Linked DNA regions of Bombyx mori. The protein of the gene in region 2 purifies or fractionates together with the protein of the main gene of each other region. This does not show direct contact. Links are inferred from orthologs where the notes say so. Each region holds a gene or a part of one and is shown on either strand. Other genes may lie near its edges.

Evidence for each region. Proteins that work in one complex are often made in the same cells at the same time.
Region 1: the proteins of transcription elongation factor B polypeptide 3 (region 2) and another transcription unit protein purify together in Homo sapiens (affinity purification with mass spectrometry; 3 studies listed by BioGRID and IntAct, with this or other methods). This does not show direct contact. The link is inferred for Bombyx mori from reciprocal best matches to the Homo sapiens genes ELOA and LEO1.

What each region holds. Positions count from the first base shown.
Region 1 is NC_085113.1:9,404,774-9,408,719, forward strand, and holds part of another transcription unit protein, read right to left. Parts: intron 3,220-3,946; coding exon 3,074-3,219; intron 2,310-3,073; coding exon 2,092-2,309; intron 461-2,091; coding exon 298-460; intron 1-297. UniProt on the Homo sapiens protein: Component of the PAF1 complex (PAF1C) which has multiple functions during transcription by RNA polymerase II and is implicated in regulation of development and maintenance of embryonic stem cell pluripotency.
Region 2 is NC_085112.1:7,694,756-7,698,701, forward strand, and holds part of transcription elongation factor B polypeptide 3, read left to right. Parts: intron 1-1,474; coding exon 1,475-2,540; intron 2,541-2,616; coding exon 2,617-2,723; intron 2,724-2,958; coding exon 2,959-3,134; intron 3,135-3,256; coding exon 3,257-3,345; intron 3,346-3,850; coding exon 3,851-3,946. UniProt on the Homo sapiens protein: SIII, also known as elongin, is a general transcription elongation factor that increases the RNA polymerase II transcription elongation past template-encoded arresting sites.

The DNA of each region.
Region 1 (3,946 bases), on a different chromosome or scaffold from region 2:
CTATCTCACCCTTCCCCCTCTCTCCTCATACATACCTCTCCCCCCCTATCTCGCTCTCCTCCTATCTCCCCCCCCCCTTTTCCATCACGTAACATTAGTGTAGGGACACCGTTTAGCAACGTATGCAGTTTCGTACATCGCTTGCATTTGGTCAGTCGTACATAGCCCACCCGACACGGCAGACACTTGTGAATATACGGAGTTAAATTGTAATCAACTTGTTTTATTAATAAAGGGCAGTTTACACCCTTTACTCTTGCATAAGCAACCGTACAATTAGTAAGTAATGAAACTCACGTGCAAAGGCTGTTTGTACACGTCGAATATCTCGGCGCCGAGGTGCAGCGACATGCTGCCGTCCGACCACTTCACCATGCGCGCGTTGGACTCTTTAACCGCGTTGCCTTCTTTGTCGAACACCGTCCTCCATCGTATCGTGTTCTCGACTTTCAGCTTTAACCTGTTAACGCAGAGCTTAGATTTAAATAGCAAGAAAACGTGTCGCAGTCATCAACCCACAAACACAGCCCACTGAGTTTCTCGCCTGATCTTCTCAGTGGGTCGCGTTTCCGATCCGGTGGTAGATTCTGCAAAGCACTGCTCTTGCTAGGGCCAGTGTTAGCAACACTCCGGTTTGAGCCCCGTGAGCTCACCTACACGTTAGGGCGAAGCTGATATAGCCTCTCAAGGGTATCAGCATAGGAAGGACAAAAAAAAGCAGACATCAAGTGTTCAGAAGAAATAACATCGTGTTATACGAATCGAACGCACGAAGATTAATCCGTCTTAGCCTATTACAATGACAATTTTCTACTGGTGGTAGGACCTCTTGTGAGTCCGCACGGGTAGGTACCACCACCCTGACTATTTCTGCCGCGAAGCAGTAATGCGTTTCGGTTTGAAGGGTGGGGCAGCCGTTGTAACTATACTTGAGACCTTAGAACTTATAAATCTCAAGGTGGGTGGCGCATTTACGTTGTAGATGTCTTGGGCTCCAGTAACCATTTAACACCAGGTGGGCTGTGAGTTCGTCTGCCCATCTAAGCAAGAAAAAAAAATGTCAATAAGAAAAAAGAAGACAAAATTTATCGAAATGAATTTAAATCTTGTAACGTCAATGATTACGGTCGATTTTCAATCGTTGGACGAATAGAGTTACATAAACAGACTGTATAGATCTTACAAACAAATCTAGACATGATTGGTTCTAATGTATAACAGATCTGTACGACAAACTGAGGATAAGATTTCCTTATATACATATATATGTAAAAGGGGTAGTGGTCTGCTCGGGTTCATAATTCGTCAGATGCACGACTTTGTAGGCCATCGTGTGATTGTTATGCTGTACGATGCCTATTTGCGAAGTAGTCTTGAATATAACGCACTCGTGTGGGATCCTCGCGAAGCAGTTCAAAAGCTAATGCTGGAAAAACTACATAAAAAAATTTGCAGGTTCCTATTCAAGAAAATGTATGGATACTATCCGTTCTTGTATCCATCACTTTATGTGACTGGTATGGTCGGATTAGATACTCTTGAGCTCAGACGGAAGATGATTCTTATGGTGCATTATTATCAGCTATTGCATAACAAAATTGATAACTCCACTGCACTGCAATCAGTGTCGTTATATGTGCCTGATGGCTACATGCGCGGATGTATGTGTGGAGGGGCGCGTCGCCAGCGGCAGCTTCTTAGTCTACGGACGCGCGTACGCAGCACACCGCTAACTCCCCGACGCATCGTGCTGTCTCGCTACTCAATGGCTTGCTAGGCTATGCTCCGGAAATGGATATATTCCATGATGGTTTGCAGCGATTTATTGTTGTTGTTAGAAATTACTTAAGCTAATTATTAATACCTTACAAATGTTTTGGTTTATACTGTTAATTTGTAAGTAGACTAATTAAATAAATAAATAAAATCACAGCGCCATACCAATTACCCAAAGAAGCAGACATTCTTGTTAAAGCAATTTTTGCGGAAAATATCCAATCAACGTTTGGTCGTGGAATTAATTAACTTATTACTAAGGAAAGCTCAAAGGAACGGGTGCTGATTTTGACAATTTAAAAAAAAATACGATACCTGGCACGACCTTCCTCATCCAGGGTCTCCTCTTCATCGATTTCATCTTCGTACGTGTTAGGATCATAAGGCCTCGTATCGACCGACAAAAAGTTGGGTAGTTTGACAAAGTGCAATTCCTTTCCCAATTCCGTCCATATCTTGGGCATGTCCACGTCGATCCTCGTCTCCGGAACCTCGATTTCCTCTTCCTCTTCCGGCTTTTCGCGAACTTCCGGCTAAAGTGCCAAATCTTTGAGCCACTTAGCAATGACTAAAACGATGCCAAGTTGATGTGCTCTATTTGCCATATAGATGTAACATAGATGCTAAGTTGTTAATGCCTATTCGTCACATTCATGATTCATCAGAATCAAATATCAGGAAATCAACCAGAGATTAAGAGAGATTATTTTCACGAACGTAGACAGAGTGTCGAGCTCATAGATAGTCTTATGAACTGGTTACTGGAGTTCATAGGCACAAAGTAAATATTTAAGTAAAAAAGGAGGATGAACTTTCAAATTATCTTCGATGATGATTAAGAGGGGTATTTTTTTATTGAATAAGGGATTACTGATGGCCTTTCCAGTTTCACCAGGACAGGTGAGCGAGCAAAGGCTCAGCTAGGAGGTGTGGGATTAGCTAACAACCGCCTGCGCGCCTCCAAAGGAGACCTAGCAACTCAAGAGCAGCTGCTTCGCGAATAAATCTACTACCGGATTGAAATAGCGACCTGCTGAGAAGATCCGGCGAGAAACTCAGCGGGCTCATGTATAGGTTAGGTTGCTCGTAAATGGGGTCAAGGCGTCTAATGTAAGAATTATTTGATCTGATGGATCCGTAAGGACGTGAGAAGTAGGAACAGGAAAATACCAGATGTTCGATCACCTATCCCTTGATCAAAACTGATAGCATCACTCACCGAGTTGCCTATACCTGAGGAACTACAGACCGCCAAAGTCGTGTAAAATTATCAACATACAAAAAAGGTATATTATACCTCATCACCACTTCTACGATCTTCGGATCGTCTATCTTCAGACCTACTTCTCGAACGCGACCGATCGGAACGCTTGTCTTGATCTTTCTGTTCTTCGTCTTCTGTGCTTATGTCTGACGCGTCACCGAACAACGCGTCAGCGGTCACTGTCAGGAAAAATATGTTTTATTTATTATTATACTAGCTGACCCGGCAGACTTCGTAGTGCCTCAATCGATAAATAAAAGACCTAAACTTTTCTATACTTTTGTCCGACGGGGGACACATCAAAGGAAAAACAAAATTGTTATTTAATTCCAAACATTTTCATATTTATCTACCTTTTAAACCTTCTCTGGACTTCCGCAAATAATTCAAGACCAAAATTAGCCAAATCGGTCCAGCCGTTCTCGAGTTTTAGCGAGACTAACGAACAGCAATTCTTTTTTCATTTAGCTATTTATTGCACCACCACTAAAAACTATATACTTCCTCAGTATCAGTACGCTACATACATATATGCATCAACTATACATTTTAAATATATAGTAATCTTCATAAACCTTTCAGTATTATGACTATTTTGTTATGTATATGTATTTTGATATTACATTTTCAACATAAATTTACATTTATACAATGAGCAATCATATTTTTCTTTTTTTTTATTGCTTAGATGGGTGGACGAGCTCACAGCCCACCTGATGTTAAGTGGTTACTGGAGCCCATAGACATCCACAGCGTAAATGCGCCACCCATCTTGAGATATAAGTTTTAAGGTCTCAAGTTTAGTTACAACGGCTGCCCCACCCTTCAAACCGAAACGCATTACTGCTTCACGGCAGAAATAGGCAGGGTGGTGGTACCCACCCGCGCCGACTCACAAGAGGTCCT
Region 2 (3,946 bases):
CTTAGAGAAGTTATATGTAATATGAAACTCCAATTTAATGTAGTTTTTAGTCAACCTTACAACTTTTGACCAACCAATAATTTGAGGTTGGTGTATCAGAGAACAGGATGTTGTGGTATATAATGTAATATAGATAAAATAAGTTGAAGTCTGTTTTCTTCTAACTCGTTTTATTTGTATTTTGATAAAAACTACGCTATCATTAATTTTCACATTTTTGTAGAACTAACACCGGGTGTTGAATTGTTACCGCAACCGTGAGAGCCACTTAGGGAAATAAAATCGAAAAATCAATAAGATAAATATAATGAATTTCCCCAGCCTTTCAGACCGAAACGCACGATTGCCCAGCTGCAGGTATACCTTACCTGCTACCAAAATCACGCAAATTAAAAAACACGCTATTTTCATTGATAACATACAAAGGTGTTGTATTCTAACATCAAAAATTGGTACGCGCCTATATAATTTGATACATTCGTATAACTTAAAACTGAAAATAAAGAGTGTGAAGGAACACGAATAAAGACACTACATTATCCACAGTCCAAATTAGCTGCTATGCAGACTTGCGTTTGATTTTTATTGGTCATAAACTAACTTGTAAAATATTGAAAAAAATATGTATAACTCATAATGCTTATTTAATGATGATAGGTAGATAGGACGTGCATTACGTAAGAACCGTTTAGTCTTTATCAGTTTTATTTTATTGCTTCAAGGCAAACGAACATGCAACCTAACTAGTGTAGAATGGTCACCACCCATGCATGTACAATTCCGGGAGCGCAACCATATGGCTGGTTTCCAATATTCGGAGGCAGAGACAACTATTGTTTATAACCCTCTGACCGATTTAATATCGGTTTATTATCCTCAGATCAAGAATAGTAGGTTCGGCTCAGTTCAGAATATGAATCCCAGTATTTTGGTAGCAATTACGAATTATAGACCTATTATGAACTTCTATGGTAATTAACAAGTCACCATCTAGTTTCTTATTCGACATTATGTATGACATTTAGACAACTATTATTAAATTACATTTGAGACTAGATACATGACACTAAGACCCGCCAGTTCGACTTCAAGTGGGAACAGATTAGTAGATAAATTCGCTCCGCGATGATTCGTAATCGAAAGAGGATTTTAGTCATTACCTTTCCGACATGCTCTACCCCTAGAAAAGTGGGCTCACAATAATCAGGCGAAAGTCCGGCACTTTTTTCCTGACACAAAAAACATATGTTATAATCTTCGGTTTTCCAGTACACCAAGAATAGGCTTCAATAAGATCATCATATTAGGCATACCTTTGACATCAGCGATATTTGATATCTGCGGGCTACGCTAACCAACCGCACCAAAAATAACGTTCATTTTCAAATGATGGAAGAATTATAACTATTAAGTCACATATTTTGAAAAGATATTAAACCTTGATTTTTTTTTAATAATATCCATCTCATTTTAGGAAGAAGAGCCCGACCACAAACGTTCAAAACAAACAAGTCATAGTGATGATAATTACAAGAAACATTCTGATGCACGAGAACAAAATGATGAGAGCGAAAGCGACAGTTACGAATCTGACGATTCTGAAAGTGACGATAGCGAGTCCGACTCTTCGGATTCCTCTGTTGAAGAAGTAAAGGTTAAAGAAGAAATTAATAAAACACGGTCTGACGAGAACAAACTATCAAAACATTCTTCACACAACAACCACGTAGACCACAAAAGGGAAACCTCAAGCTCAAAGAAGCAACACGAGGCTGACCCCAAACATACCGAACATCATAACTCGAAGTCGAAGCGCAGGCATTCGCCAGAAACATCGTATGAAAAATCACACCACTCTCATAGACACAAAAGCTCTAAGGAAAAAGAAAGCAGCAGCAAAGAAGCAAAACATAAATCAGACACAGATAAACATTCAGACCATTCACAGAGTAAAGATTCGAAAACGGGCAAATCATCAAGCAGTCATCACAGTTCATCGGCATCAAGTAGGCATCATAGCTCAGACAAACACAAGTCTAGTTCCAGCTCTCAAAAACATCATAATGAAGAACCGAAAATCAAACCTGAAAGACATTCCAGTCATTCAGACAAGCACAGAAGTTCCAGTGAGTCAAAAAGCGCAGAAAGGAATAAGAGTTCGTCTGAAAAAGATATTCCGAAACACAAATCATCAAAAGATAAAAGTAGCAGTAAAGAAACATTTAGTAGTAAAGATAAAGACAGACATAGTTCCTCTAGCAAGGAAAAGTCAAGAGAAAAAAGTAATTCTAAGGATAAATCGAGCACCAATAGTAATGATAAGAAGCATTCGTCTTCAAGTGATAAACACAAATCAAGTAAGAGCGAAAGCAAATCGTCAAAGAATGAAGAGAAGAGTAGTGAAAGTAAATCTAAACATAAGTCAAGTTCCTCGTCGGATCACAAAAGTAGTAAGAATAAAAGAAAAGAAGAACCAGAACCAAAGAAAAAGGCCCGTTTAACCGACGAGGACAGTGACGATGGCATCGACTGTGAATCAGGTAAATGAAGATACGCTCACAAAACTTACCTTCGAATAAAATAGAATACCTTCATACCTACCTTATATTTCAACAGGTGCGAGTTTTGCTGAAGCATTGGGCATGATCAGTCCAGCGAAACCGAAAAAGAAATCGTCACAATTGAAAGACAGTATATCTCCTAACAACATATTCGGTAACGATGTAAGTATGCGAATCGTGTACACTTTAACAAATAATTGGAATATCGTATTTTGAAATCCACTAAAACTACGTTTTTTAAATATGACATAGAATCTGTAAAAGTACACAAATGATTATAAAGACAATAATTATCTGTATTATAATATAAGAATCAGAAAAAGTACACAAATGATTATAAAGACAATAATTATCTGTATTATAATATGAGAATCAGAAATTGTAATATATTTTCTAGATGAGTCCGGCGGCTATGTTGGCTCCGACTGCAAAATTGGCGCCTTTGCCGGCATTAGAAATATCTGCACTACCAGAGATATCGCCGAACTACAAGCCCCGACCGCCTCCTAAATTTATGTTCAATTTCACAGACGAGGAGGCCTTAAGTGCAGGAATATCATCGAAAAACCAAAGGTAATCTAAAATGTTAAAAAAAATTAGAAAATGGGACATAAAAAGAATTATATTACGATTAAAATATATTTTTAAATTATGCTTAATTTCGAATAAAGAGTTTGTGATTTTGATATTTTCAGAACCAAAGTGTATTCCGGGAATAAGGTCATAGGAAAAATACCAACTCTGTATGAGATATGCGTTAACATTCTCCAAGAGCACATTGACGGTATGTATTTTTAGTATTCAATTGCAAAATGTAGAACACAGATTAACATCATTCTGTGAAGACATCCATACAATAGCTTTACTAATAACAGTGTTGTGAAGTAATTGCAACGGCTTACGATAATTTAACTGCGCTTAGTTACTTGTTTAATCAATCAACTTACCTGTGTTAATATATAAAGTGTACGAAAATAATTAAGGGAAACTTAAGCAAAATGTACCTTACAGAAATTTATATTTCCTTTTTTAGTAAGTTAGTTAGTATTTCCTAATTAGTTTGGTAATACACAATCTGAAAAACATAACTGGTAAATGTTGTCAAAATCGTATAACATTTCGAAGATTTTTTAATTTTATCATGTCATTTAGCACCTGTCCTTATTTTCGAGTAACCTTACATTCGATATTATGTCAATCTATTTTCTGGGCAAGTGCCTAAGTTAAATTTATATCATAACAACACAAAGTGTCATCAGTGAGAAATTAAGAACACTTAATATTTTTAGCACTGGAGTACACAGGCGGTGTGCCATATGAAATATTAAAGCCTGTGGTAGACAGAGCAACTCCGCAGCAGTTATTCACACTAGAACATTATAATC